4 linked regions of the Arabidopsis thaliana genome follow. The protein of the gene in region 2 interacts with the protein of the main gene of each other region in a pairwise test. Each region holds a gene or a part of one and is shown on either strand. Other genes may lie near its edges. The genes, in order: BAM1, NAP5, AT5G44960 and AT2G26030.

Region 1 (9,688 bases), on a different chromosome or scaffold from region 2:
CAAGAGTCCAAACTAACATTTGGTTTGCTGACATTTGGTGTGAAGGCGTGGTTCGCCATCGATCTTATTATTCATCCATTGGTCAGCTCATAGCTAAAATTTCAAGATAACAAAGATTTCAAAAAGCTGATAGATATTGTTTATGCATGTGCATAACTTATAATAATGGCAGTAATGATTACGTATTAGACAATGCATTATTAGAAATTAGATCATGCCTGGTAAAATATAGTAAGAAGGTTTGATCATGCAAAACATTATAATATTTCTCTATCTTGTAAATAATGAGGCAAGTGAACTTTACAGCTAATTGTAATTTAATTATTTTTAAAAGAGCTATGTGCTTAAAATTCAAAAGGATCAGAAGCATTTGGAAATATTTGTCACGTTTGATTTTCAAAAATGTATGTCAACAAATAGAAAAAGTGGCACTTAACCAATTGTCTCTTCTTCTTTTTGTCCTTTCAGTGTCACCTCACTATTATTACTTTCTAAATTTAACCATTATTAATCTCTGATGATAATTCTCTGGTTACAAGAATATACATTTACAAATTTACAATCATCTCCTGCTTTCTTCTTTAAGAAAAAAAGAGTACTGCAATCATCATAATATACAAGTACATCATTACTCGTGAAACTATAAAACTCAAAAGTGATTTTGTTTACGTCGATGAGCATTTACGAAACAAAGCGAATCTCTACCTAGCTAGCACCACGTTACGATATCATCGTATATGACATATAATTTTCTCACACACATTTTCTTGACATACGACGGTCTCATATGTCACGGACGTTCATCCATGAATCAAATTCATATACTAACTATTTACGTCCTTTATTTTACTTAGTTCAGTCATATGTCACGGATAAACAAACGGTCATTCTTGATGTCCCCAAGAGCATTCCAACTCCATTACATATATATATGTAAACACTATAAAATTTAAACGGAATGAGTAAGATTTGGGCCAACACAAGTCACTAGTACGTGAATCATAGTAAAAGGTAGAGCCACTATAATCATCTTACATAATTAGCTAGACACTTTCGTATATTATATAGTGTTAGTGATAGCAGGTACGAATATTAATTAGGGTTTTTGTGTTTTTCTTCTTATGATGACCAGCAACTAATTATACCTAATCACCTACACTAAATTCTGAAATCTTTTAAGAAAATTGAGCGGCTAATACCAAATGTATACAAACTGCATTTCACATATCAGATCAATTGATAAATTTAAATTTCTAAATTTTGTTATTGTAATTTACCTTGGTGTAAGGATTCTCTTTAGCAACTACGAGGGATGGGACATAACTATGTCGGGGAAAACAATGAAGGCCAAGATAAAGACAAAACGGACCCATTCAAAACACAGTGCACTCCTTCTTCTTTCTACGTGTCTCTGTCACATCACAATCATAAATTCCACGTGGCATTTTCACCCCTAAAACTTACCAATTAAAATGTTTGGATTGATATTTATATGTGCTACATAACTGATAGGTCTATAGCATAGACACAGAGTAAATTGAGTTAGAAAATTGGAGTAGTCTAATTTTCAGTGCTTATGAGTTGTCACAGACGAAAATTCTTTGAGATAAAAAAAGTTTCTAATTAATAGCTTTCTTTTGTCCGGAAATTACGCATAATGTGAGAATATAAAGCTGATATGAAATGACATTAACTATTGTTTTTCCTGAGTCTTTTACCTTTATGATCCATCGAACATGAATATCCCATGGACGCACAGTGAAATGGAAAATAGTTGTTGTATATGTGATGAAATCGTGAACACACACGCAATTGATGTGTGCATCAAGGAAATTACAAAAACACTTTTTGTTTGTTTGTGAAATAAACGTTACGTTTATGAAAAAGATAAAATTGCAGTATCACTCGTCAAATTCTTGCTTGGAGTATAGTAATGAAAGAATCATAAACATAGCAACGGAATTTGCTAAGTGGATGACACTTTTTGGAAATGTCACTAACTTAGTGAGTGAACTAAATCACATTTTAGTGCAATATGTTATCATAGAGTTACGTGAGAATCCCTATCAAAGCTAACACTTAGCCCATGATCTAGTTAGGCTGTTATCTCCAAAATGTGAACAAACACGAAGATAGCTACAATTTTGTTTGTTTGGTCCAATTTTCTCATTAAAACCTAGACTTAGATCTACAATCATCATTGGAAACTACGTACAGCCAAATGAAAACCATATTAATGTAAGTTGGGTGTGGCTTATATTTATGAGTGATCGATGAAATCATAAATGCTTTACATAGAGTAGAAATTGCTTCATGAGCAGGGAATAGAGAAGAGATCTCATCAAAATCATTAAAGACTTAAAGACTTTGGTATATATTTTGCATGTGGGAGAAATATCACCTTATAGGCTTCTCATATTAACTCAAAACCAATCATTATCTCCCCACCACATTTATACCTTTGACCTCTCACATGCTTCCTCTTTAATTATTCTTCCAAGTTAACATTTTCACCAAACGCAAACGCAACCACAACTTTAACCGCTCTCAAACATCTTGTTGATGGAGATCAAATATAATTTCTGTTTGATGAAATTTCTTTCAGGTTATTGCAGGTGTTAGTAGCTACATTTGAATCTTTGTAACAAAGTCAAATACCTAAAAACAATAAAGAAGGTGATCGTTCATATCAGTTGCAGATGCGTGACTCTATAGCAAGACATGCAAGAGTGTTCACATTACACATTTCACTCTTTTCAAGATATTTTGAAATTCCTTCAAAAAAAAACCAACTGTACATTTTCATTAACACAAATTACAAACTAAATAAAGCCGAATACCGATTAAAAACATAAAAAAGGAAAATGAAACACACTTAAAAAGAGTTTAAACAACCTTCTTTCAAAAAAAAACCTACTAAACCGGACCAAAGCACAAACCGTACTAAGAGGGATTAAAGTAAATTAACAACCAAATCTCATCGCTAATAACATTTATGAAAAGACAAATTTACCCCTTATACCGGTACCCTAAATTAACCGCCGTGAATCAGAAAACTCTCATAGATTGAGTAGATCCGGCGGACTTTGAACACCAGACTTCGGCGAAAGCTCACTCTCCGGCGCTGATTCCGTCATCGGCTGATCCTTCGACGGTGGCAACTTCGGGATCTCAGTGAGAATCTGAACAACTTCTCTCATAGTCGGCCTCTCAACAGCTTGTTCTTCTACACAGAGCATCGCTACATAGAAGACGTGCGTCACTTCATGAATCGGAATCGAAGAAAGTCTCGGATCCAATACTTTCAGAACCGAATCCTTGTTCGAATCAGTCATTTTACGAACCCATTGCACTATATCGACACCGTCTCCAAATTCTCCGACAGGTTTTCTTCCGGTGACGAGTTCCAAAAGAACCACACCGAAACTATACACATCGCTCTTCTCATCTACCTTCAACGTATACGCATACTCTACACAAACACCAAAACAGAGCAAAAGATAGTAAAGTTAGAAACTTTAAAGAGAAAAACAGAGCAAGAGATTGTAAAGTTAGAAACTTTTTTTGAAGATTTTAGTACCTGGAGCTATGTAGCCGTAAGAGCCAGCGATTGCAGACATACATTCAGAAGTACCGGAATCTTGAAGGAATTTAGCGAGACCAAAGTCAGCAACATGAGCTTCAAAGTTTGAATCAAGGAGGATGTTGTTTGATTTGACATCTCTGTGAACGATCAATGGAGAACAATCGTGATGAAGGTAACAGAGTCCTTTAGCAGCTTCAAGAGCAATCTTGTAACGTGTGTCCCAATGCAAGTGTCCTCCTTTCTTACCGTGAAGCACCTCACCGAGACTACCATTAGGCATGTACTCATAGACAAGTAGATTCGTCTCGTGGTTTGAGCAAAATCCGAGAAGCCTCACTATGTGTCTGTGTCTTATCCTTCCTAAGGTTTGAATCTCTGCGTTGAAGCCGTGATCATGGGAAGATCCACGAGACATTGCAGCGAGTCTTTTAACCGCGACTAGATCACCATTAGGCATTACGCCTTTATAGACAATACCAGCTCCTCCTTTGCCTATAATGTTGTCTTCTTTGAGAGAATCCAAGACATCGTCACACGTGAAGTCTAGTCTCTGGAAAGCTGTTAACCTCCAAGCCCGTGACTCACTCGCCTTTTTCAATGATCTAGCTTTGATTATGGCTACTACCGCGAACGCAATCGAACAAACAAGTAGTCCAAGAACAAGCAATAACTTCATAGAAGCTGATAAAGGTCCTTTACTATGACTCTGGTGACCTCCTTTAGCAACACCGTCTTTACAAGGACCAAGATAAGGACCACAGAGATCAGGATTACCCAAGAACGATGTGTAGTTGAAGTAACTGAATTGTCCTGTTCCCGGAACTAAACCGGAGAGGTTGTTGTAAGAGAAATCAAGAGATGTTAAGCTCTGCATTGACGAGATTGAACCAGGGATTGATCCAACCAGATGGTTTCTCGACAGGTTCAAGTAATTCAATATCTTCATAGCAGTGATCTCATTTGGGATTTCACCGGAGAGCTCGTTTCTGCTCAGATCAACAAACGTTAAGAGCTTGCAACGACTAATCTCCGGCGCGATTCGACCGGAGAACAAGTTGTGGCTGAAATCAATCTTCGAGAGCTGCTGAAGCTTCCCTACCTCTGAAGGAATAGGACCTTGGAACTTGTTTCCATCAAGAAGAAGTTTCTGAACGCCGGTGAAGTTCCCGATCGCCGGAGGTAATGGACCTGAGAGCTGGTTGTTTGATAAACTGATCTGACCAAGATTAACAGAGACACCTCCGGCGACTGGTAACTCTCCGGAGAGATAATTATCTTGGAGCTCCACTTGAGTTAATTTGGGTAATCCGAATAGTCCTTTTGGGATTGACCCGTTCAGGAAATTCTCACCCATTCGGATCCGGGTCAAAGACTCACATTTACCAAGAGAATCAGGGATTGAACCAAAGAGAAAGTTTCCAAGAGTGATTAAAGTTTCTAACTTGTTACCGGAGCACATGTTCGGCGGTAAAGTTCCGGTCAGCTTATTGGAAGAGAGATCGACGAGATTTAGTTTACCGTTTTCTCCTAATTTCTGCGGGATGCTTCCGGTGAAATTGTTCTCCCAAAGCTGTAACACTTCAAGCTCCGGCAAATCTCCGATGAACTCCGGTATCTCGCCGTGAAGTTTGTTACGGAAGAGATTCAAAAGCGTGAGATTCTTCAACTCTGCGAAACTCGCTGGAATCTCTCCGGTGAACATGTTGTTAGACAAATCCATTGATTTTAAACTCGATAGCGTTCCTAGCTCCCAAGTTAATGGACCGGAGAAGACATTCACTTGCAAGAAAAGCGTATCGAGTTTCTGAAGCTTCCCAATCTCCGGCGGAATCTCACCGGTTAATCCGCAATTAGCTCCGTCGAATCTGACTAGCTCCGATAGATTTCCGATCTCTGGAGGAAGACCGTCTTCGAAAGCGTTGTAGTAGCCGATGTAAAGCTCCCGGAGAGTCGTTAGGTTTCCGATCTCTGGAGGGATTTTCCCGACAAGCTCGTTGCCGGAAACCGCTAGATACTCAATAACTGGCCAGCTTCCGTACGAAGGCGGGATCTTTCCAGCGAAGTAGTTACCACCGAGGTGAAGGTGCCGGAGCTGAGTCAGATTGGTGACGGAAACCGGTAAATCTCCGGTTAGATTGTTGTTGTAGACATCAAGAACTCGGAGATTCACCAATCCAGAAGAAATCTCATCGGGAAACGAACCGTTGAAGACATTGTTCGAGAGATTTAAGTGACGAAGACCGGAAAGGCTCGAGATTTCCGGCGGAATCGGACCGGAGATTAGATTTTCAGCGAGTGATAGATTCTGAAGAAGACGTAAATGAGAAACATCTGGGGAAAGAGTACCGGAGAGGTTGAGACCGGAGAGATCAAGAGAAGTCACGTGACGGCGAGATACATCGCACGTGACACCAATCCATGTACAGAAGCTTGTTGAGACTTTCCAGGAAGAGAGAGGCGAGTTTTTGTCATCTCCGGCGCCGGTGAGAGAGGTTTTGAGTGAGAGGAGAGCACGGAACTCGGAGATTGGTCGGCTTGCGGTGAAGGTATGAGAAATGTGGAGAAGAAAAAGAAGGAGAAGAAAAAGTTTCATTGTTTCTCTCTATCTCTCTTGTGTGGGAGAGATTAGGGTTGTGAGATGGTGTGAGTGTAGAGAGAAGGTAAGTGAAGACGAAGAAGAAGATGAGGAAGGTGTGAATTTGTTTTATATTCGTTCCACTTGTTTTTGGAATTGTATATAGGTGCCACGTCAGATTTGTGATTTTATTACATTACTAATCATAACACTAAAAAGTAATTGGAGGTAGACAAACACAAATTACAAAATCAATAATACTAGTGCTGATTTGATAAAACAATCAAGTGATAGATTGCAGAAGAAACGATATTTGATAAAACAGTAAAAATAGCCTGATACTAACATTTGAAATTCAAACATTTGCAGATAATTCTGATTCCAACACATCATATGCTTTGACGAAATGAATATTGTATTATTTAGAACTTTGTACGATGGAGAATATACTATTATTAGGGAAAGGTTCATTTATTTTGTTTTGGAGTCATGTTGTTCTTGAAACATTTGAATGGTGATGTTCTCAAGTATTGACAAATTTCCTTTAATTTCTCATTTCATATGACCACAATATACATTTTCTAAATAATCATGTGTAATGTACTAATAAATAGAGTAATTTTTGTTTTATTTTGAGAGACACAGGATAATTGTATGAGCATCCAACAAAATAAATGTAGAAAGATTAACTAAAATCCCTCAAAAGATACAAGAGGTCATATTCTTAATCGTATGGTTTTATCGGAAAACGACAAAAGCTAAAAAGATCGTTATTGGTAATCTAATCCTATACGTAATAAGTTAATTGATGCTTTAAAGCGAAAAAACCCAATAATTAATGTAGATGAACGGTCCAGATGCAATCATTCCAATGGATAGTCAAAAAGTTTACCACTGTGGAACCCACTCTTTAAAAGAGAGGTTTATGGTAATTGGGCCGTATGAATTGGGCCCATGTGTCTGTAAATAAAATAGTGAATTATTATGTTTTTTTTGTACTTGTGCCTTTTTGCATTAACAATGCCACAATGGGGTCGTATTTATTTGATTTGGTCGATATATCAAAGAAAAAAATCAAATGAATTAATTTCACTTTCCAATATATATATACGAATCCAGACGACATATAAAAAATTCATTTCTGGAAACATAATAATATTTCTAATACAAAAACCAGCAAAATCTGTTGAGAAGAGCAAAATATAAAAGTTAGAAAAGCAACATGAAAGTAAAAAAATATTTAGACTTCCTTCTTTTTGTATAGTGTGAATTGACTTTAATTAATAAAAAAAAGTGAAAAAGAAAATTAAAAGAGATTGAAAATGATTGATAATTATTAGAAAAAGTTATAATTTTGCTGGTGGTAGGAAATTAACCGAAAGTTTTGGTCAAATATTTATTTTGACTGAATACATTCTTGACCATGGAACATCTACGTAATTACATCTTTTACCACTAAGGAGCTCTTTGGACTTGAATGGACTGCTCGTTCGGTTGCTATGAATTGACCAAATCAGCCTTCGAGTCCAAACCAGAGATTGTCGGTTTTGGGATAAGTATCGAAAAGACGAAAACACCCTCTAGCTCGTTGTTATTAATGCAGCCGTCTGGACAGAGGAGACTGGGGGCATGATCGTAATCGTGTGTCCAGCTAACGAGGTTTCTTTGCCGGTTGCTACAGTTCACTGTCACTGATCTATCTATAATCATTTCTGCATTCTCGTTTCATCTATAAGTATTTGTATATATGTAAATATTAAAATACTAGTCACAAATTTATATGAATTTAACCATACAATTGTTTTGTAATCTTCTTTTTAGACTTTGATAGGGAGAATAATCAACCTTCTTAAGCAAAATATCATACTCAAACAATGTATTTTTATTAGATAAATTCAAATAAATTTCGAAAAATTATTGAGCAAGAATTATTGACAATCTGATTTGGTAAGCACGTGTGAAGGGAGCTTTATGTAAGAAACTTTAAGAAAGATGTGGGAAGTAGGTGCTTAATGAGATTCGTTTATTTGATTTTACACTTCTTTCTTACTCTCTTCTCTATTTCTAACCCTTTTTCATTTTTTTAAAAAGTGTCTTGAAAACTCAAATTTAAGTAAATAGAAAAATAGATTGAGATGAAGGATAATGAGATAACATTGGGTTAAGAGTTAAAATAGAGAAGAATCCAAAGCCAAAAGCAAAGTTGTTTAACGATGGAATCACGTTGTATCCATTACCAAGTTTCTTTTTGTTTTGTTTATTCTCTAACCGCATCGTCTCGTGCTGTGTTCCTTTCTGTCTCCTTAAATGCACATCTCTATAAGGATTCTTATTACCAACACACAATCTTGATTCAAATCTCTTTACTCACCAAAAAGATAACTATGATTAGTAATACGTATATGAATGGAATGATTATACCATATCTTTTTTCTTTCGAACCAAGATTAAACGGAAGAATAATAAAGCTCAACAACCATAGTTGATTTTAGTACATTTAGGAATTTGAAAGTTAACTATTATTTATGGAAAGACTGAAGCACAAAGTTAAGAATTAGGCAGTGATATGTTTTGCTTGTTTTGAAATCATGTAATAATAGAGAGAACATGTTGCGAAAGCGACGCTTGATGAAGCAAAAAAAACCAAGACAAAGGTCTTAACAAAGTCATCTTTTTTCCTTTGGTTTGAAAAAAAAAAGTTGCTTCAATTTTCTAGTGGTTCATTTGAAAGGTGAAACACGACCCAATAAAAGTGAAAATGGGACCATAAACATGTCATCTTCACATCACCACTCTGTTTCTGAGTCCGACCATCACGGACATAAAACATGGTCCAACTAATTTGATACAGTCAGTTCCCATAACTTATCTCTCTCTACGAGTTACTCTTACTATGTATGATCACTTTTTAAAACACTTTCAATACTTGCGAAACTGTATTTTAAATATTGGGAAAACAGAGAGAATTAGAGAGGAAACATGTTCTGAACATTATATTTATTACCACTCGTAAGTCACTTTCCATTTGCAGGATTTACTTATACCTAATGGTGTCAGATTGAGTTTGTGTCTCTTTTACAACAGTATCGCACCTTCTACATCCAATAGACAACTAATGAAAGCTAGAATCAATCAAAACAGATTTACACTAGAAAGAAAAGGATGATACCACATTGAAAAATTGATGAATGTATGAACAGGATGGTAACAATTTAACTTAGAATCGAAATTTTGGTATGAAATCCTCTGAAGTCTGAAGAGTTTTAGGTTTAGTTGAAAATTAGAGTACTGTAGTAGTTTGAGATCCTCTAGACGAAGCAGAAGGTTCCATCAAATTCTATTTGTTTCGCGGGCCAACCCGCAAGCCCGATATTTTATGGACATATGTAGAGTTCAAGCCCGCCCTGTGATGATGCTTATTGGGGCAAGCTGGTGGGTTTGTGGGCCGCTTGACAAAAGAACATTAAAAAAAGACAAATTTGATGGACAATCATGATTGTTGTGGTTAGTATACATACTTTTGAGGA
Region 2 (7,169 bases):
TGATACATGCATCGTTATATACCACGGTCTATTGCACATCGGACATGTTCTAATCTAGTTAATTAGGATTAAAAAAGTAGATACCAAACCTTTTTCAAGAATTTGTAGATGAAATTTTAAAATCTATCAAAGAATTAATTCTAAGGGATTAATTGCTAAAGAAAATTAAATGAAAGCATATTTAATCATAAATTGTCTTAATTTATTTTCATTATTTTTAGGAATAATATAAACATATATTAATCAACATTTATTATTTATAGCATAAACAAATACATGTTTATTTATTTGCTCTTTATTATTCTAATATAAATTAATAGTGTTATATATTTTTCGCCACAGTTAATGTTAAATCTAAAGTTAAAAATCCAACATTAGATCATTATTTTCTTTATATATAGAGATACACAAATCTACTCCAAGAATCATCATCGTAGGAAAAGAATGGAGAATGATAAACATAATAATCCCAAGACAATATTTATACCAGATGATATAGCTGAAGGGATCTTTCACCATCTTCCAATAAAATCACTGGCTAGATTCAAAGTCTTATCAAAAAAATGGACATCGATGATCGAATCAACCTACTTTTCCCACAAACGACTCATTCGTACAGGCTTACCAACCCCTAATATGAAATTTCTTCATATTAGTCAACACTTTACAGCGAATTTTGTTGAAGAATATTCAAACTCAATAACTTTTCTTTTGGAGACTTTTTCTAGAGATGATCAAAACAACAGAAAAACTTGTCTTTCTTCTTCTAGTTACTACACTTTTTCTGGTGATCCAGTCGACGAATCTCAAAATAAAACTATTCAAGTATTGGGGTCTTGTGATGGATTGGTCTTGCTTCGGATCCATGACGATTTCAGGTCCATTTACTTGATCAATCCGACGACTAAAGAACACATGAAACTTTCTCCCGAATTTATGCAATGGCCATTTACTCTTAGTTACTTAACCCCCGCAATGGCCAATAAACCATGGAGACAACTTTCTCAATCAGTATTGGATTATGACATATCTGGTTTGTCAACTTTCTTGTTCTATGGTTGATTATAGAGTTGAATTTTAACTTTCACATAGTAATATGTTATATACCTATTTATCAAAAAAAAATTTTTCGTCAAGGTGGATTAGTGAAGAGAATGCCGTCTCTTGCTGGATTTGGCAAAGATATTGTTAAAAAATCTTATAAGGTGGTTTTGATATATACAAGATATGAAATACATGATCATGAGTTCAAGGCCAAGGTCCTATCCCTTGATAATGGTGAGCAAAGAGACGTAGGGTTTTATGACATACATCATTGTATCTTCTGCGATGAGCAAACATCAGTCTACGCCAACGGATCCCTCTTTTGGTTGACATTAAAGAAGCTTAGTCAAACATCTTACCAGCTATTAGCTATCGATCTTCACACTGAAGAATTTCGATGGATATTATTACCAGAGTGTGACACCAAATATGCTACTAATATAGAAATGTGGAATCTGAATGAACGTTTGTGCCTATCGGATGTGCTAGAAAGTTCAAATTTGGTCGTTTGGAGTTTACACCAAGAATATCCTACCGAAAAATGGGAGAAAATATATTCTATTAAGATTGACGTTATAAGAACCAACCAATTACATGAAAAGTTTTGGATGCTTGGTCTAGCGGCTGCCTATTTTTCAAATATCAGAAATCGTCAAGATCAAGTTTCTTTTTTTAGACAAAGAACGATTTCGTATTTGCCAACAATGATTTCTCCTTCAAATTTGATGCTTTGATGTTGTTAATTATACTTTCAATTTTTAACAATATTATATGTAAGTTAAAAAGAATATTTTTAAAAAAAAGATGTTTAGATATTTATTTATTTTAAGTATATTGTAATTTCTTTATTTGACATTATGGATTATTTTTATGTTTTATTTTCTCTTGTTTTCTTTCTTTCTGTCAATATAATACATATTTGGATATAGTTATGATGAATATATACAAGTTTTTGAACAAGTTTTTGCAATTTTAAAAGACATTGGAGAACGGAAAATGCAGTGATGCATTTTATGAAACAGTTCAGTAGCAGTCTTGTAACCAGCCGTGACAAGAAGCGTGGCTCTAACAAGAATGCAGAGGGAACTTCCAAATGCCAAAGCAACATACACAACCATTAACGTAGAAAGTTTCACAGGAGCTTGCACATCCTCAGAAATAGGAGTAGCCCAAGCCATCCAGTAGTTACTTCCAATCTGTAGAAGCTGAAAGAGAATTTGCCCCAACAATATGAAAGGCACAAGAGCTCCTCCGTATGCCAGTGTGATATATTTCCAGTATACATCCAAAGCGACGCTACCTTTCGCCCTCTCTTCCTCTTGAACAAATTGTCTTTGGGGCTCCCCAGAATCTAATTTATCGTTCTTCAGATCTTGACTTTCTTGTTTCCCGTCGAAACCAATATCATCTCTCACAACACCATTTTCTTCGTCTAAAGCTGAGTTTTCAGAAACAGAACTGGCATCAGCCGACCCAACTACTGCCAGAGACTCTTGATGCGCACCTATAAGCTCCCTGAAATCTGTTCCAGAGATGAGGATATCATTATATTTTCCAGCTTGGCTGATTCTCCCATCTTTCATGACCTGAGGCATAAGAAAATCGGTTATGGATGATTTCATATTCTCAGTGCTGTAGAAAATGATAAAAGACAGTGAACTATTCACATACCAGTGTAAGATCAGCAGAAGGTAAGAACTCAACTTGATGGGTTACATATATAACCGATTTAGAACATAAAAGCCCTCGTAGAGCTTCCTGAAAAAAGTATGAGAATGAAAATAAATTTGATACATGATTGTTTACGGAAGGAGAAATCACAATCACACTAATGGCTAAGTAAGAAGATTGTACCTTAAAGAGATGTGACCCTGTGTGTGCATCGACAGCACTAAAAGGATCATCAAACAGATAGATGTCCGCATCTTGGTAGAGAGCGCGTGCAATATGTATTCTTTGCTTTTGTCCACCACTCAAATTGATGCCGCGTTCTCCAATGACGGTCTGATCACCGAATGAAAGTATCTCCAGATCTTTACTCAAAGAACATGCTTCAATCACCTTATCATATCGTTCTCTATCCATATTATATAAACAGACTTAATATCAGTCATCTGATTATTTAAACTTAAATACAAGTGTATTAGACCTTGTTCTAGGAGCAGGCTCATATCGTTATGTATAAAAGAAGATATCTGTGTGAGATTGTTTTCACTGTGCAGTCCGAAAAGTGTTGCCTCAGAGTCTCCTGGATCAGATTATCAGTAGCTGTATCGATAGAAGCAATGGCTTCATCAAGAACCGGCCATACTTTGCTTTTCTTGAGAAAGACTCGTCTTACTGTGTATCAAGGCGTCGTAGTGTGTAGTTGTCAAAAACTTGTGGATCAGCAAAACAACATAAAGAAAGATCTTTGCCAAAAACTTCTGAGTTGGTATTACAGTCATTAAGAATGCTCGAAAAAGAAATTCTCACGTCCGTATTGAAAAACCTTCTTCAAGACACTCAGTTCTAAGATCTTCCATGAGACCCTGAAACATAGATGGATCGCTCGTCACAACAGCATCCACACCTAAGTGAAGCATCCTTTTCATGGGATCAGCATCATCCACAGTCCATGCATACACCTCTTTGTTTCTCCTGTTGATCAGATCGAGCAAGGTTGTAAACACATGAGCAGGTGTGTTTTTATTTGAAAACATTGAAATCGATTGCTTACCGACGGACAACTCTAACTAATTCTTCATCGATCAAGGGATGATAAACTCCCACAACCCTAGCTCCCTTCATTCTCAGCAGGCTGTTTCTCGCCCCAGTCAAAGGATCTACCATCACAATGTATCCCACCTGCCAAAATCACTAGGAAATGAGCAAGAAACTTCTCTATCTGATCCTCACAAGACAATCCATTTCTGTTTACCATAGTATCTGGTGCTCGTCTAATTATGTCCCTAGCCAAAGTGTCGCTTTTGGCCCATACGATGCAATTATTGCACTGCGCTCTCTCAATCTAACAACAGAGGATTGGCGATTCATGTGAGCAAAGCCAGAAATACCACCATTGAAACATCAACAATTTATCCATACTCTTGTTTTTTCAAGTATCTATAGTAAGCTGTTCTAGCTTTGTGTACAAAGATACCAGGAAATAAATGATTAAGCAACGCTATTAAGGAATCAAAACATGTTTATAAATCTCGAGCACATTGTACTAAAGCTTTACAAGTACAAGAGCTAACAAAAACATAGTACTTACAATAGAAAGGATGTCTTGTGCTAACCCCTTTTCATACATTGGCGGTCCAACTTTGGCATCAAGGATCACTTTCCGGACTGAATTCGATATCAACTAGATGATTCAAGATCAAAACTAGCTTCAGCCACTTGTTACTAAGCAGAAATTACAAAGCAAAGCAATGACAAGATAGTAATTAAAAAAACAGGCATTACCGCTAAAGCCTCTTCAAGAGTAGGAATCCTACTACTTCCCAAGGTTCCTTTAACAATCTCCGAGACATCGAGTTCCTTGATCTGCAAAAAGATCATCAAAAGGTTTATGAAAAATGGATGCAAAAAAGCATATCCCAAAAGCTGGTAAAGAGAGAGAGGGAGAGATGAGACCTGTTTCATACTCAGATCTCCAACTTGAACAGAAGAGTTACGAGCAATACGCTGCAGATCCCTGACTGTGCGTGTGATCAGAAGATGAATAAGAAGAACACCGATGAGAATCCAAACACAGAAACATTAGAAGAAGATGATACAACAAGGATCAGAGTCTGTAACCTGTTGTGAAGAGCGAATAAAACACCATCGGAGGAACGAGAAACATCGACTTCAATGCAATCAACTCGAGAACGTATAGCGAAACTGTAAGCGTCCATCTACGATTGAGAAGAGTCCAAGAGATTAAGGTTTAAAAAGGTTAGTAGCAAGAGTGTGAAGAAGAAGAGATCGAGAGTGTACGTACAGTGTTTGGGAAAGCGAGGGTGGAATCGCCGCCGTGAGCACAGACAAGTGGAGGATGGTGAAGCCAATCGCACTTTTGCGCGACAATCTGACGAATTCGTCGGAGCTTGAAATGGAAGTAGAGAGGAGGGAAGATAGCTAAGAAAATCACAGCGAAGAGAATCGTTCTCTTGAAATTTCTCGAATACAATGGGCTGAAGAAACGACGGCGACGAGTTCCTCCGCCGTCGAATGGCCGTCTTCTGTGCCGCCATTCAAAAATCGCCATTAGCTGAACAAGACAAAGGTTGTTTTTGGAGCTAAAGACGACGTTTACTGCAATCTTGGAAAAAAAAGAAGTTCACCAATCACCATCAAACTATATATTTTTTTTTTTTTGTCACAACTGTTTTATTATTTATATTACAAAGCCTTTTAACAAGCCATATTTTACAAAGCCATATAACAGGCCATAAACGGACAAAAGCCCAAAGACCACCTTCTGAAGAAGAGAAAGCTAATGTGCTAATAAGTCAAAGCCCACATGGCACTAGAGACACGGTAAAGAGGACACGTGGAAACAGAAAATGATGAGTTGCAGAATGTCGCAGGTGGAGAATCATAACCACAAAAAACTTAAGTTCACCGGAATTGCTGTAAACGCCAAATCGGAAGCAGCTACAAATCCGATGAGACAATTGACAAATCTTCTGTGACAATGACTGTAAAATTTAAAACCTTCAAGAAAGAAATAGCTCACAAACTATCGACTTCGACTTCTGCCATTTAAAGGAAAAACAACATAAACCCAAACGATTCAACAAGCATCGGCAACAAGAAAGACAAACAACAGCTCTAATTTCATCAAAATCAAACAAAAGACACTAAATTAAACTTCAATCCGTAACTAAAAATTTGATCTTTTAAAATGAAAACTCAATAAGCTTGAAGAACAAATTAAGCCCCTTAAAGAAGGGAGGATCGAAAAATTACAAATTTAGATCGAAATGAAGAGAAAGAGAAATCAAAACCAATTAAAACCGAAGCAAAATAGAATCGAACAAGGTTGAAAGGCAAAAACTAAATTTGAAGAACGAAGCCGACCAACGGTGCTAAAGAAACCACCGATGTCGGAGAAAAGCTAGCCGACGTTGCTAAAGGAGCTAACGACGCCAGAAGGAAGCCAACCAACACCACTAAAAAAGCTGGCTATTGTCGGAGCCAAGTTTGAGCATCAGAAACTTCCTCTCTCTAAAAGATCTAGAGAGAGAAGAGAGAGAAAGTCCTTTTATTTTCTCAACTGCACAAAAGAGAGAAAGTCCATCAAACTATAAATTATTTTCTTTAATTTTTTTGTTATATTAAAAAAAAAACTAATAACAAAACAATTTTATTCTCATTTGTTCCACATCTCTAGAGTCACAGAGTGTACGTATCAAATAAAATTAGAAGATTAAAACACACAAAAAAAAAATGAAATAGAAAAAACCATTCACTTTCTAGTCTTATCAAGAACTTCGATGTATCTCTTTGGAACTCCATAGTGTTCCACCATATATCTCGCAAGGTTATCAATCACACCTCCTTGAATCAGAACCTCGTACCCTTTCTTACCTGAAAGCAAACACACAAAACAATCAATCATCTCTCAAATAGTTAATTCACTTACACAGCTGAACAAAACAAAAAGGATAGATTTTAAACGTACCTGGAAGTTCTCCAACTGAAGTACTGCAAGCAAACTTCTTCTGCAGTTCTGATCCAAACGAGTCTGGGTCTATCAAGAACGTCTCCATCCCTGTGACCTTGGTCACTTTTTTGTTACCTTGTCTTCGTTCTGTCATTATCTGAACCGGCTTTACAGCTCCTTTACGAACCACGGGTTCACCGCCTCCTCTCATCACTACGTGATTAGGCTGCATTCTACCTACAAATGTCGACCCAACATCCTTTTTGTGGATCTCTGACGGATATGCCGATCCCTTTTTGATAGCTCCTTTGAACAATGCATCACATAGTATCGGATCCAACACCACCATTGATTTGTTTGTTGGCTTTACTAGATTTTCCTTCTCAATGTATTTGAACACAACGTCAGTGGCTTCAGAAGCTGTGTACAGATTTCCTTTGTCTTCCCCAACTGATGCAAATATTGCACTATTGTGTATGCTTGATTT
Region 3 (7,509 bases), on a different chromosome or scaffold from region 2:
TCTCTCCCTCTTGTTACTGTCCTTCTCTTGTAAGTAAATTTGAATTTTGATTTGGGAATTCATAAAATGGTGTAGTGGTTAAACTCAAGCTTTTTTTTTATTTTGCATAATCTATGTTTCCATTATATTCGTATACGCTACTTAAATCAATTTTTGAAAACATAGAGAATACTAATTTGAAATCATTGTTTTTCTTGAAATAAACTACAGATCAGAGTAAACTAATCGAGGCTAAGGAAGACAAAGAATGTAACGACAGCAAATGTCTTCCTAATCCGTCAAGGATAAATTTAGAAGAAGGGAATATAAAAAGAATCGATGTGAATCATGGAGGGATATGTGACACATACCTTGAGTGTGGAGGGTTGGCATGTTCTGATTATCGTCGGGCGTGTTGCGTAAACGGAAAATGTGTATGCCGCAAACAAGGCCAAACTCTGCCCGATTGCCCAAACTAAATTATGTATTGACAACATTCTAATTAATAAAATAAGATGTCTTAGAAACAACAAAAACATTTCATCAATCCTTTATAAATGATAGAACATATCTTGATTGAATCACAACAGATTCTACGTAACAGTCTGCGAAAATCACAAACCAATAACTGAGATTGAGATCAAAACTAGAAATGTCACTTAATCTGACCTTTAAGCATGTAAGTGAGATAACCAAATCTGAAGAAGACACTATTATTTGTGTGCCAACTACAGAATGCTAAGCCTGACTACAACTTTCATAAGATTATTCTTCTACATTGATCTTCAATGACAATGCTCATGCCCTCATTGACATGATCAGATGCATGTTAAGAAATGATAACTTGACATCTGCGAGAACGCTTTCTGGCTGTAAGATACATTTTATAGAGATGATCTAACGGTAGATTGGTCATAGTACTCATAGGAGAATCTGTGAAACTCGGCTTGAGTTTCTTAAGGATTGGTGAATTCTCAAGAAAATAATGAACTAGTTTAACCCCAGTTGCTTCCTTCCTAATCAGTTTGTTAATCTCAATACACTCCAGAGTCGATGTTATACACCGAGGCACATTGGTAAGATCGATTTCCTCTGGCTCCGCTGAAACATATAAGTCCTGCAAAATAAAAAGAGCTAATCAGCTTACAATATATGCAACAATGATCTTAATTTGCCAAATCAAAGATCAAAGACAGATTCTTACCAAGATGAGTTTTTTCAGGTTTGGGCAGCTCTCAAGAAAGGCGGGCAATAGTTGTAATGATGTGCTGGAGAATGCAGCCTTCAAATGAGATAGGTGATGGAATTTGGGAATAGGCCCGAGTTTTGAATAACGACATATGACCTGCAAAAGAGAAACAGAATGTTATTAAGTGAGGAATCATTCCATAGCTAGAAAAACTAAATTGTTAATCACAGAGAAACATTATTTACCTCTAGAGTACGTTGAGAGATGATCATCTGTCTTACACTCGATATACCAGTGAGAACGTCACGGATAATATCTCTCGGTTCCAAGGAACTGTAGCCAAATTCAGTATCAAGATTTAACTTGAACAATGAACTCAGATTCTTTACCATGATTGTATCAGAGTGCCTATTTATAAAACTCATATACTCTAGTTTTGGAGCATCAATCTCCACCGAAATAGGTATAGTAGTCATCATCTCCAAATCAAACACTAAACGTAAGATCTTCAGTGTCAGAGACTTCACATGTAGAAGAGGCAGATCTGGTATTACCATATCATGAATCCTTACCACGGTAAGATCTTCAAGAACAAGACACCCTGCGATGAGTTTCTCCACAACCAAAGGAGCATCATAACCGTACCAATTATTTTCTAGATGCATGATCTTGAGACAAGGTAGAGAAACAACAAACTTTGGATTCTCAAGCTCTACGCATACAAGCTTTAAAGACACCAATGTCTTACTCTTATAAATGTTCATAGGCATGGAATCTTTGAGAAAGAGAGAAGGATTTTTGGTCTCGAAATCTAAATGTTGAATCCCGCGATCAACCGCTGCGGCGATCCACTCCTTTAATCTGTCGCAACACACATTGTAGTTGCCGTGATTATTTGTCATCTTGAACTTTTGAAGGCCTGACGCACTGTTAAACTCAAGAAATCTTTCAGTGTAGTTCTTGATGATATCTCTGTAAGGGAAAGGGAAGTCAACGGAGTTTAAGTCTAGACCTGGAACTTCAAGCCAAAGATTTCTCCATCTGGTCGATAAACACTTGTCTTAACTGAATCTTTGGTTGGAAGCCATAAAAGAATCTGAGTTATCAAAGAATCTGGAAGTTCGCTGATTATATCGTTTCGCATTATGAGACGTAACCCTAAAAGCTTCTAAAACTACAATATCAAAAGGTGTTTTGCTCAGATTTCTCCAAATTCTAGGGTTTAAACAATCACAGGAAACGTAACGATCAAAGCAGGAATCAGAAGAACTCTCCGAATGAATAATAACGAATTGTTTTTTTTGTTTGTTTTTAATGTGAAGAACGAATTGCTTTTATATAGCAAATAAATTATGAATCCAAACCCTATTAAAATTTTCTTTAGTACAACTAGATAAATGGAAATTTCTTTTAGTTATTAATTAATAATATCTAAACTACAATTATTATATGTTGAAATTAAAATATTAATTCTTAAAGAAAAAAGACAAAAATATAATTTAACTGCGTAACTCTCTGTCCTGAGATTGAAACAAAACCAACAAAAGATGAAACAAGACCATGTGCTAACAAGCATCATCATCTGCATGTCAAACAAAGATAACTTGACATGTGGGAGAAAGCTTTGTTGATGTAAGAAGCTTCTTGTAGCTCTCGCTCTCTATAGAAGAAAAAAATGAGAAACGTAGAGTAAGTTTCTTGAGGACTGCTGAATTCTCAATAAAGTAATTTACTAGTTTAATCCCACTTTGCTCCATCATCATCAGTTTGTTAATGTGAACATACTCGAGAGTCGATATCAAACACTGAGGCACTTCGTGAAAGTCGATATTTTCTTCCTTAAATGCCCCATAGTCCTACGAAAAAATATGATTCAAACAATGTTCTGTAGCTAAATCACATATTTCAAGCAGATTCTTACAAAGCAGATGTCATAATATGTTCCAACAATATTCTTAGTTTGCCAAATTAAAGATCCATCAGATTCTTACCATGATTAGGTTTTTCAGATTTGGGCAGCTCTCAAGAAAGGTTGGCAATAGTTGTAACGATGTACCGAAGAACGAAGCCTGCAAATGATATAAGTTACGGAATTGGGGAATCCATCCTAGTTTGGAATAAGAATGTAGCTCCTGCAACAAAAAATACAAAAATTACATGTGAAGATATTTTTTTCATACAGAATTAAATACAATAAATTGTTAAATATACCTCTAGAATGCTCCCAGAAATGATCATATGCCTTACACTAGATATCACGGTTAAAAAATCACAGATAATAGCTCTCTTTCTTGGATCCTCTGCTTTCAAAAGACCGCCATACTCAAAACTAGATTTGGCTCTAATTTCGATACTAAACAAGGAACTCATGTTCTTTACCATAATCCTATCAAATCGACTCTCGTAAAATGTCATATACTTGAGTCGTGGAGCATCAATCTCAACTCAAAACTCTGTACCACTCCCATTGGTCGCAAAATATAAACGAAGGCTTTTCAGAGTCTGAGAGCTCACACGCAGAAACAGTATAACGTCCTGAGTCAAAATATCAAAAGGCTTAATCAGCTCAAGATCTTCAAGAACAGGACATCCTGAGATGAGCTTCTCCACAACCAAAGGGCCATCCTCACCGTAACAAATTTTCATCAGTTTCAAGATCTTGAGACAAGGTAGAGAAACAACAAAGTCTGGATTCTTCAACTCTACGTTATAAAGCTTCAAAGAGACCAATGTCTTGCTCTTGTAAATGTTTTGACGTATGAAATCAACTCTATTACAAGTATGCATATAAACATACAAATGTTGAATTCCACAATCAACCACTGTACCGATCAACTCCATGAATCGATCTCGATAACCATTGCATTCGAAATACCTTATCATGAACTTTTGCAGGCGTGACCTGCAGTTAGACTCCATAAATCTGTCCATAAACTTTATCAAGCCTTCTTCATGATGAGGATTTGTGAATTGAAGGCTGAATAAGTCAAGTCCAGGAACGTTTAACCAAAGATTTCTCCATCTCTTCGACGACACGCTTGTCTTAACAGAATCTTTGGTCCGAAGGTCTAAGAGTATCTGAGTTAGTAAAGAATCAGGCAATTCGTTGATATAATCGCACTCCTCCATCCCTAGATCCTGAACAACAACATCAACATCAAAATCGTGCGATGAGGAATGAAGAAATAACCGTCTCCGTCGATTTGATTTGACAGCAGATTATTGCCGGAGTTGGAGAAATCCTACTAGGCTTTGATTTGACGGCAGATTTGATTTGATTTGATTTGATAATTAGAAAGATGATCGTTAAATACTTGAATCGATCAGGTTCGAGAAATCCTACGAGGGGGTTTATCTTATTTTTGGGTTTAGGGCCAAAAGGGCCCTATAAAAAAAAACATAAACCAAAAGAGGACCAATGCAACTTACTTGCGGTTTACGAAACCTTATTGAAACCTGTACAATATATAATTTCGGCCAAAAATTGAAATAGTATAAGATATTAAGATACCTTGAGCAAAAGCCCATTATAGATGTAAATTCTTATTTTCTACTTCAACGACATACTTGTCCATGGTAGAGATATAGCACAGAACCGATTTTCGATGATGATCCAAAACAATAAAATGCATAGATAAATTGGCTTTTAACCATATGAATATTCCATAGTTTCAAAAATACAAAAAGACAATATTACCACCTGAGGTTTTAATTCCCAAGTTAAACCTAAACCACCTTGTCTATAAATGCAACTTTCTTAAGAATATAGAAACTGAGATTAAAGCAAGAAAAGTTGAATAATTTGACCTTTAAGCATTATAAGATCAAAACATGACACCCACGAGATCGTTTTGTTGATGTAAGAAGCTGCATGTAGATCTCTGACTCTTGGTTGGTCATGGGAGAATCTATGAAACTCAGAGTCAGTTTCTTGAGGACTGCTGAATTCTCAAGAAAGTATTTCACCAATTTAATCCCACTTTCCTCCCTCATAGTAAGTTGTTTAATCTCAACGTACTCCAGCGTCGAAATTAAACACCGAGGCAGATTGGTAAAGTCGATTTGCTCTGGCTCTGCTGAAATAGAATAGTCCTGCAAAGAAACAAGCTGAGTTTACACTATACTTCAACAAGGTTCTTTATTGTAAGCCAAATCACATATTCAAACACATTCTTACCAAGATGAGGTTTTTTAGATTTGGGCAGATTTCTAGGAAGGCGGGCAATAGTTGTAACAATGAGCTGGAGAACACAGCTTGCAAATGATATAAGTTATGGAATTTTGGAAGCTGTCCGATTTTGGAATAACGATAAAGCACCTGCAAGGATAATGAATATGATACATGTGAAAAATTAAAGTACATTTAATCAATGTGTTATATAATACATCAGAGACTTCAAATATATAGGTACGTACCTCCAGAGTAGGATGAGAGATGATCATATGTTTGACACTCGAAATACCGGTAAGAAAATCTCGGATAATATCTCTCTTAGTCAAGTCCTCCGGTTCCAAAGGACTGCCGAGGCCAAACTTGAGATTAAATTCAGTATCAAGGTCTATCTTGACCAAGGAACTCAAATTTTTTACAACTATTCTATCAGATTGACTATCTCTAAAACTCATGTACTTAAGTCCTGGTGCATCAATCTCGACCGAAAAATCGTTACTACCCATTCCCCAATCAAATGTTAAACGGAAGTTCTTCAAAGTTTGAGACATCACACGCAGAAAGTTAAGAAAATCCTCATGATTCCTTACAATGGTAAGATCTTCAAGAACAGGACAGCCTGAGATGAGGTTCTCCGCAATCAAAGGACTATAAAAAATGTCTTCAAGATGCATGATCTTAAGACAAGGTAGAGAAACAACAAACTTTGGAGTGTCAAGCCCTACATTTACGAGCTTTAAAGACACCAACGTCTTGCTCTTGCAAATGTTGGCAGGCATAAAATCAATGGTCCATGGAGGACAATCAGTGGCCGTAACATCTAGATGCTGAATACCGCGATCAACGACTGTAGCGATCCACGGCACAAATCTGTCCATTAGATAATACAAATTACTTTCATAGTTTAACTTGAAATTTTGTAGGCGTCCGCGGTTAACCTCAAGAAACTTGTCCATCAAGCTCTCAAATAAGTTTCCATCAGCAGGGAAGTCATGTACGTTCACGTCAAGACCAGGTACCTTAAGCCAGAGTTTTCTCCATCTGCTAGATAAAACACTTGTCCTAATAGATTCTTCGATGTGAAGGTACATGAGTATATGATTTAGCAAACCATCTGGTAATTCGCTGATCCTATCGCGCCCCATCACTAAATCATAAACAACGACGACGACATCAAAATCCGAAATCAAATCCAATGCATTGATGAAGTTTTTCAATTTTATATCTCAAACCTAGGGTTTAATCACTAAGGTAAACGTACATTCAAGGAAGGGAGTGAAGAACTTACCGTCGATTTGGTCTGACGGCAGATTATCGCCAGAGATCTTGTTTCAGGGTTAAGCAGTTAAAGACAAAAATGAATCGATATAAAGTATGGTGGAGCAATATCTTGGGAATATTTGAGCATATTTCACAAAGATTAAAAACACACAAAAATCTCATTTGATTTTTTTTCCTATAAAAAAATCAATTAACTACATTTAATTCAACCAATAAAAAAATATGCCGTAAAATATTATTGATCAAAAATTATTTAATACATTTAGTTTTTGCATAGTTCGGTTTAAAAAAAAATCCAAAACCGAACCAAAAATCTGAATCTCTAAACATTTTGTTTGCCCATGTGGATTCTTATTTTCTTCTGATATACTCCAACAACCTATTCGTTCAATGAAACAATCTAGTAACTTTACCGATTCAAGAGACAAAATAGCTTGAAACCAAAGCAATAAAAGTTACATAGGCTTGCCCTTTAAAGATCAATAGATCATTAGTTGTTAAAGAATTCAAACAACAAAAAGATGGGATAACCTAATAAACCTTATTCTAACAACGATTTTTCATGAGTACAGATAATTCATACGCTAAGGTTCAATGAAACACGCTCATGTGCTCACCAGCATCATCGGCTGCACGTCAATCGATGATAATTTGACATGTGGGAGAAAGCTTTGTGGATGTAAGAAGCTTCTTGTAGCTCTCAGGGTCTTGCTTTTTCTTAGAATGATATGTGAAACTTAGAGTCAGTTTCTTTAAGACTGCTGAATTCTCAAGAAAGTAATCCACTAGTTTAATCCCACTTTTCTCCTTCAATATCAGTTCTTCAATTTGAACATACTCGAGAGTCGATATTAAACACTGAGGCACTTTGTGAAAGTCGATATTCTTA
Region 4 (8,128 bases), on a different chromosome or scaffold from region 2:
CCACGACCAACAATGGTTTGTTTATACATAGCAACTTAGCTAGTTTGAAAATTTACCACCGGCGCAAGAGATTGATGAATCATCCAATTTTCGATTATAGGTGTTTCCTGGTAAAATGTAAATGGGAAACTTCGACAGCATGCAGTTTCTTATTCTGAAAACTTGGTTGAACGATGCTGCTCTTGAGATCAACCAAACCATGTCGATAGTCCCTTATGTTGTATGTCTAGGGGTGATGCTCAAATCGGAAAATTTTGACCGCTTAGTTTTATCTTGTTCATATATATAGTTTTCACCTTTCAAAAATTTTGCACAAATTATGAAATAGCTTACACTATTACTATCAAGGTATTTATTCGACGAAGGTCAGACTACCAACTACACTTTTCCTAACTGTGAAAATCTCTGAATTTAATATACTTGTGTAACTATTGGCTTGGTTAAGATCTTATTTCTTGCATCTTGTCCAAGTCAGATTAACCAGCCGCCCATGCAAAGCCAAAGCAGCCGCTTAGGTTACATTAGATATTGAGAGAGAAAAATATGTGGTAGATAAACAAGCCATCAACTATTAATAAGCCAAGATCTTATCTTTTAATATTAGCTCGAGAAGGCGTACGTGGTGTGTTTAATTTGTGGGGTACAATTAGCTCGTTATTGTACCATGCACAAGTAGAAAATAAACTCACCATCATTTCATTATAAATAAAGGTTGATCTCTTAAGCTTATTTCTTCACACAACACATACATACATACATTGAAAACAAAGTAGTAATAATCATCATGGCTAAGTTTGCTTCCATCATCACCTTTATCTACGCTGCTCTTGTTCTCTTTGCAGCTTTTGGTTAGTAATGCTCTTATAATATGAATTAAAATGTAATGTTCATTTACATAACTAGAGAGATGTAACATACGCAGAAGTACCAACAATGGTGGAAGCACAGAAGTTGTGCGAGAAGCCAAGTGGTACTTGGTCAGGAGTTTGCGGAAACAGCAATGCATGCAAGAATCAGTGCATTAACCTTGAAGGAGCAAAACATGGATCTTGCAACTATGTCTTCCCAGCTCACAAGTGTATCTGTTACGTCCCATGTTAATTTACCAATTTTCTTTGGTTCTTTATCGATGTGTATTTATATTTTTAAAAATAAGTCTGTGTCATTCTATGAGTGACTTAAGGCATGCATGTTTATGTTTTAATGTTTGGTGTGACTTTTCTATAAAAATATAAAATTTAAGTACGACGTAGGACTTTTTTCTTGTCCATATTTGGTTACAACACGACCATTATACATACTATTTTTTAAGGACATAGTACGTATCTCTCACAAGAAATTGACACTTTATTAATATATAATAGAATCCATATTATTTTTTTGTTAAAATTAATTTTTATTAATCAAAAGTACTCTAAATTCATATCATATCATTTTGCCTATATATGTACTCTAAATTCATAGCCATGACCAACAACGGTTTGTTTATCTATAGCCAACTAAGCTAGTTTGAAAACCTACTGCCGATGAGAGCAACACATTGATGACTAATCCAATTTTCAGTTAAAGGTGTTTCCCCGTAAAATGTAAATGGAAAACTTTAATTTTCTAGAGCAGTTTCTTGTTTTGCAAACTTGGCCGAACTACGATGATGAGATCAACCAAATCATGTTGATGGACAGATTATCTTTGCTTCAATGCTTTTTAACTTTTTTTGCCATGGACCAAATCCATAGGTTATACAGTCTTGTAATTAAAACCTAAACATGTTTGAATTTTGGCAAAAAAAACACACACCAAATCATGGCATAGTCCACTACGATATATGTCTAACAGTCTAATTAGGGTGATGCTTTAACCGGAAACATTCGACCGCTTGGTTTTACCTGCTTGCTCCTGTCATATGGTTTAATTTTACCGTTCAGGAACTTTGTACAAAGTTACTTCCGAGGTATTTTATTCGACTCAGACTACGAACTACACTTTTCTTAAGTGTGAAAATCTCGGACATATCAATAAACTTGTCTAACTATGGCAATCTTAAGTTTTTACATTTTACCTACCTTTTTGATTAAGATCTTATTTTCTTGAATTTTGTCCGAGTCAGATTAACCAGCCGCCCATGCATGTGATCGATGTAGCATTAGCTCAAAGCCAAAGCAGCCGCTCAGGATACAATTTTTTTTTTTTTGAATAAAACTTAGGATACATTAGACATTGACAGAGAAAAAATATGTGGTGGAGAAACAAGCCATCAACTATTAATAAGCCAAGATCTTATCTTTTAATATCAGCTACGAGCAGACGTTGTGTGTGTAATTTGTGGGGTTACCACGTTATTGTACAGCTCACAAGTAGAAAATAAACTCACCAACATTTCATTATAAATAAAGGTTGAATATAAGCTTATTTCTTTACATAACACATACATTGAAGCAAAGTAATAATAATTATCATGGATAAGTTTGCTGCCATCATCACCCTTATCTTCGGAATATGTCAAAAGAAAGAAATTATTTCTATGTTTTCATAGGAAGTTCAAGTTAAATCACTCGACATAGAGTCAATTCAATAGCTTATCTCATGACTACGTTGAAGAAATTAAACATTATTTAAAAAGTTGAATTACGGTATACAAAAAAAAAACTCAAGATCCGGATGTTTTTGTAGATCACCAACTAAATTTTCTCATATCAAGAGAAAGCGTTATTAAAGCCAGACCTGTTTCTTCTTGTCTACATTCTTGTCTATAGTCTGGTAGCAATTTAATGTAATTTTCCATTCTGTAAATAAAAAACACTATTCAGTCGTTAAAACAATCCTTCTTAACGTATTTCGTACGTAATTTAATTGCTTTTATAATCAATCATAATCACATCTTACAAGTAAGTGAAGAAAGTAATACAATTTACAGTTAATATTATCCACACCAATGTCTGGAAAAGGCTAAGCCTAATTGCAAATTTTTCATAACAAAAGATTTCTACAATGATCTTCTATAAACATTGTCAATGAATGATGATAACCTCACAGCTGCGAGAACGCTTTGTGAAAGTACTAAGCTCCTTGAAGATATCTGAATCTTGGTTTGCTATCGAAGAATCTTCTAAACGCAAAATGAGTTTCTTGAGAACTACTGAATTCTTGAGAAAATACCTCACTAATTTCTCCCCGGTTTCTTCTCCCATAATCAATTCTCTAATCTCAACACACTCCAAACTCGATAACAAACACTGAGGGACATAGGTAAGTCCATCTTGCTCAGGCTCCGTTGAAACAGTAAAGTCCTGCAGGTGCACACGCTGTGTTTACAATATATTCAGAGATGTTCTTAACTAACCAAATCATAGATTTATTCATAATCTTACCAAGATGAGGTTTTCAAGATTTGGGCAGCTCTCAAGAAAGACAAGCAACAACTGCAACATGGATCGAGAAACCGCAGCTTGTAAACGGTACAAGTTATCGAATTTCGGAATAGGTACCAACTTCGAATATCGATCTAGGACCTGCAATAAAGAAAGAAAAGGATACATCACAGGGAATCAAAGTACATTTCTTGTCACATATATGCATCAAAAAATACATATTTCACCTCTAAAGTACGCCGAGAGATGATCATATGTCTTACACAAGATATCGCGGTTAAAAAATCACGGATGATATCTCTCTTGCGTAAATCCCCCGGTTCCAAACGACTGCCGCCAAACTTAACATTAAATTCACTATCAATATCAATCATCGACAAAGAAGTCATGTTCTTGACTACAATCGTATCAGATTGGTCATCATTAAAATTCAAATACTCAAGTCTAGGAGCATCAATCTCAACCGAAAAATACGTACAAGAAACACTATACTCAAACGTAAGACGAAAGCTTCTAAGACTCAGAGACCTCACACGAAGAAACTGCAGAACATCTAGATTACAAAAATCAATAGGCCTAATCAATACAAAATCTTCAAGAACAGGACAACCTGAGATAATCTTCTCCATGATCAAAGGATCATCATAATACCAAACATCTTCTAAATGCATTATCTTAAGAGACGGTAGTGAAACAACGAACTCTGGATTCTCGATTCCTACGGTTACAAGCATTAGAGACACCAATGTATTGCACTTATAAATATTCTGAGGCATGAACTCTCTTACACACATATTAGTCTCAAAACCTTTAGCATCTAGATGTTGAATTCCGCGATCAACCGTTGTTACAACCCACCCAGCTAACCGATCATCGTCGTAAGTGTATTCATCATACTTCAACTTGAATTTTCGCATTCGTGATTTTCGATTAAACTCGAGAAAATTGTCGATAAAGCTTGCGTAGTTTTCGTCAGGGAAATCGCTGACTTTTAAGTCGAGAACAGGAACCCTAAGCCAGAGAAATTCCCATCGTTTCGATAAAACGCTTGTTTTAACGGAATCTATGGTCGGAAGGTATGAGAGTACTTGAGTTAGTAAAGAATCTGGCAATTCGCAGATTCTATCGCAATTCATCGCAAGAAACAAAATCCTAAAGTATCAAATAGTTTCAGAACTGATCCCAAAATCAGACACACAATCATGTAATCGAGCTTGGTCTGAAGAACTCACCGTCGATCTGACTCGCCGGAGAATTATGGTTGAAGTTATCGGAGTAGAGTTTCAAAATTGATCCCAAAATGTGAATGTGAACGTGTCACCGTCGCCGGCGTTGTTATCTGATACGATCGGGGATTGGGCCTAATTGGGCTTGAATAAGCCCATTGATATCTTCTTATCTTATTTACGATTTATGAAAAAAAACTCTTCTTATCCCAAAATGTGAATGTCTACTCAGTACTCAAATGATATCAAACCGAAGAACATAGTTTGTCTGGATGCTGACTCGGTTCAGGACCATTTGGAAGGATTTTACTATAATGTTTATTATCACATGTTTATTATAATGTTCAAAACCATATAATATCTTTAACACTATTGATACTATTAAATATAATATATTTTAAATAAAAATAATATGTATCCAAGAAAATGGATTTTAGCTATCTTTTTAAGAAGATATTGATTATAAAATTTGTAAAGAGATTTTTTTTATATAAAAAAGATAATAAATTATGTTAGAAGAAGATCATAATTAGTTATAATATGTAGTTATAATGTTTAAAAAAAAAACTATGTCTTAAAAACCTATTTATAAATATAATTCTAACATTTTTTAAATATGAAACTAAATTTAGTTAACAATAGATTTTAATTGTTTATAAATAAAAAGTTAGATTATATTTAATATGTAATATATATACTTCCAATTCCAAGTGAAAATATAAAGTATATATATTTCTGAATATTAAAGATTACTGTCAATTAGATATACTTTACTTTAAAGCAATTTTGGAGGAAAAAGAAAAAGAAAATCAAGCGAAATAGAAAAACTGTATTTGTCTTTCTATTGAAAAGGTAAAACAACTTGTGGAGACACAACCATTGGAAGTAGTACATGGCTGCATGCATAATGTGACACACTTCTCTTTTCCAGCACTTTAAAGAAGTGAAAGGCAAAAGAGCTTCTACACGAATCTAGACCATGGATTCCTCTTGTAATACAAAAAATTATATTATTTTTATTGAACTGGAACTACTGTGGCGCAATTCTTACCATTTTTTTTTTAATAACACATAGTAAAGGGGACCAAATCTGAATGTGTGATACAATTACATAGCAACACAAATAACTAGACTACACATCACAACGGTCCAATGTTTTAAGACGACTATAATTAATGAAAAAAAATGTATTGGACAAGTTTTGTGGAGACACAAACCATCGGAATATATATGTATAAACTTTTTTCAAAGGTGCCCTAAAAAACGTTAACCTAATAAGAAGAAGAAGAAGAATGATTTTGGTAAGGTAAATAAAAATCTAATTCAACATTGCGACAAGAAGTGATTTCTAAGTTCCTTTTTGCTTTTTGATAACCGGCAAGATTTCTTGACTCTTTGTAGCGCAAATACTATAGACCAACTATAACCAATATTAATTAAGAGTGTAATACCAATTTTTGACATCATCAAAAATAGTCCAAAGTTTATTCAAAAATAGTCCAAATTTATTCAAAAATAGATGGTGAAAAAGCAAAATCAAATGACAGAATTCGTGATTTGCCGTTTATTGGAAAAAAATAAACAGAGAACTAATATGCGTTATGCAACAATAGTTTCGTTAACGGAATCGAATTAAACATTTGCTTCCAATAGTAAATCTCACAAATTAAGTAAATAATCAATAATCATCAGAAGAAAGGAAAAAACTTACCGAGAGAAAATATAAGAAATAAACTTGAAATTATTCATCATCATGCATAGGTGCAGATGTGGCGGCAACTCCGAGTTTCTGAAGGTTGAGTTTGACGACAGTGTCCACAAACATTTTAGTGTCTTCCTCTGTGTTTCCCTCGGGAATATCAACGGTGTAAGATTCAAGAACCACCGTGTAAACCTTGCCGGAATCTTGATTCAAGAACTCATTGACCGACGTCACTGATTTGTAGTTCTTGAGTCGGTGCTCTCCGCCGACGACCCTGAAGCTTAGAACACGGTGGTCGTCATCGACGAACTCAAGCCGCTCGGTACTGGTTGAGGCTGGGAGGCCGGAGATTACGGTCACTTCTCTGACGCTTCCGACGTCACCATCACCGGAGATGAGACGGCACCTTTTTACAAAGTGTTTGTAGCGTTCGGGGTTGTCGAAGCGGCGGATAAGAGGCCAAACCACGGAGGCCGGAGCGTGGATGCGTTGGGTTATGAGAGAAGTGCACGTGGTTGGGTCTGGTTCGAACTGGTGGTACGTTTTGATAACCGGTTCGAGGGTTTTCTGCTCTTCATCGGTTAGGCCTTTCACGGCCGGGGATGAGCTCATGGTGATGAATCAGTCACACGTGTGAGGGTTTTATGAAAGAGAGGTCTTCTTGTTGGAGGTTGGGGGGTTTGTGAAAGAGATGAGAATAAAAGACAGTTCTTTTTTTGGGAGCTATGAGTGTTTTTTTATATATTACTACAAATCTATGGGTGTTGTTCTTTGGACGGATTTATCCCTTTCTGTTTGTTTATTGTCCATATATTAACTCTTGTTCTAACTTATACTCTTCCCGTATCATTTTAAGTGATGTTTTAGCAAAAACAAAAAGTTTCATTTTAAGTGATGCTTTCAATTTTTTATACAAATTAAATGCATTTTTATACCAATTATATTTTACAATCATTTTTTATATTAGTTGAATTCAGTTTAATTAATAATGTTTTTTTATGTAAAGAGAACAATTAAATGAATATTTTATGCTTTCTTAATTTGTGGGTAAAAATATTAAACAAGAGGGAATACAAAAACTAGATCATTTCTTATTTATAAGCCCATTTTGTCAAAGAGTTTCCATCTTCTTATTTATGTAGAGGATTTATACATTGGCGTAAATTGAACTCAATATCTTTAACCTATAAGGTGAAAACAATCTTTATTTCTAGAAGTGAAATTTTATTTATTGTAAAGGTGGTTTTAGTAAACTTTAAATCAGTTAATACATAATGTTAACATTGGCATATAATTATGTTTTCAATGAACAGTCACTACACATTAAGACTTGGTCCAACCACCTCCCAAAATCCAATAACTAAATTGATGGACCTACTCCAATATTTTATTTTATAAATTTAAATAAAACTGTGGGGAAATGACAAAATATTAAATAAATATCCGGTCACCACTCTTTTGGGTCTCGAAAGAAAAAAAGAAAGAAAGGTGGTGGTCAGAGCTGGGTTATTTTGTCTTGTAGTTAACAAAATTCTCTGTATTATTCCTTGATTTAGTGGGACGGTAACACTGTATTGCACATGTATTTAATAATTAGGTCTTACCATAATAGATGTTCGATGCTTGATCATTTTTAGAAAGCACCTAATTTAACTATCCATAAAACTATTTTGTCTTCATTTACGGTTATGGTTCTTGAACAACGAGCCGAGCCAAACCCGATTCGGGTATAACTTTGATACAGTACCCAAATATAAAATGTGAACTAAAATATCTTCTCCTTCCATAATAAGTAATATTTCAGAGAAATTTATTTTATTTCATGGTTTTCA

The links.
Region 1: the proteins of NAP5 (region 2) and BAM1 interact in a protein complementation assay, tested with the Arabidopsis thaliana proteins (one large-scale study listed by BioGRID).
Region 3: the proteins of NAP5 (region 2) and AT5G44960 interact in a protein complementation assay, tested with the Arabidopsis thaliana proteins (one large-scale study listed by BioGRID).
Region 4: the proteins of NAP5 (region 2) and AT2G26030 interact in a protein complementation assay, tested with the Arabidopsis thaliana proteins (one large-scale study listed by BioGRID).

What each region holds. Positions count from the first base shown.
Region 1 is NC_003076.8:26,278,317-26,288,004, reverse strand, and holds BAM1 (Leucine-rich receptor-like protein kinase family protein), read right to left. Parts: upstream 6,295-9,688; 5' UTR 6,180-6,294; coding exon 3,581-6,179; intron 3,473-3,580; coding exon 3,060-3,472; 3' UTR 3,040-3,059; exon of another isoform or gene 2,914-3,039; 3' UTR 2,592-2,913; downstream 1-2,591. UniProt on the Arabidopsis thaliana protein: Necessary for male gametophyte development, as well as ovule specification and function. Involved in cell-cell communication process required during early anther development, and regulating cell division and differentiation to organize cell layers.
Region 2 is NC_003070.9:26,882,041-26,889,209, forward strand, and holds NAP5 (non-intrinsic ABC protein 5), read right to left. Parts: upstream 3,130-7,169; coding exon 2,899-3,129; intron 2,803-2,898; coding exon 2,716-2,802; intron 2,631-2,715; coding exon 1,974-2,630; downstream 1-1,973. Other genes in the region: AT1G71320 (F-box family protein), read left to right, coding at 445-754, 797-1,033, 1,147-1,778; GDPD4 (PLC-like phosphodiesterases superfamily protein), read right to left, coding at 3,516-3,684, 3,764-3,891, 3,965-4,054, 4,301-4,393, 4,495-4,575, 4,666-4,726, 4,831-4,928, 5,015-5,281; AT1G71350 (eukaryotic translation initiation factor SUI1 family protein), read right to left, coding at 6,485-6,606, 6,701-7,169.
Region 3 is NC_003076.8:18,150,640-18,158,148, reverse strand, and holds AT5G44960 (F-box/RNI-like/FBD-like domains-containing protein), read right to left. Parts: upstream 4,298-7,509; coding exon 3,683-4,297; intron 3,608-3,682; coding exon 3,380-3,607; intron 3,301-3,379; coding exon 3,160-3,300; intron 3,025-3,159; coding exon 2,758-3,024; downstream 1-2,757. Other genes in the region: AT5G44973 (defensin-like protein), read left to right, coding at 1-29, 211-458; AT5G44970 (Protein with RNI-like/FBD-like domain), read right to left, coding at 809-1,096, 1,184-1,324, 1,414-2,022, 2,181-2,312; AT5G44950 (F-box/RNI-like/FBD-like domains-containing protein), read right to left, coding at 4,985-5,260, 5,346-5,486, 5,585-6,484; AT5G44940 (F-box/RNI-like superfamily protein), read right to left, coding at 7,257-7,509.
Region 4 is NC_003071.7:11,088,497-11,096,624, forward strand, and holds AT2G26030 (F-box/RNI-like/FBD-like domains-containing protein), read right to left. Parts: upstream 4,949-8,128; 5' UTR 4,505-4,948; coding exon 3,596-4,504; intron 3,510-3,595; coding exon 3,369-3,509; intron 3,303-3,368; coding exon 3,009-3,302; 3' UTR 2,834-3,008; downstream 1-2,833. Other genes in the region: PDF1.2b (plant defensin 1.2b), read left to right, coding at 785-848, 923-1,101; PYL2 (PYR1-like 2), read right to left, coding at 6,336-6,908.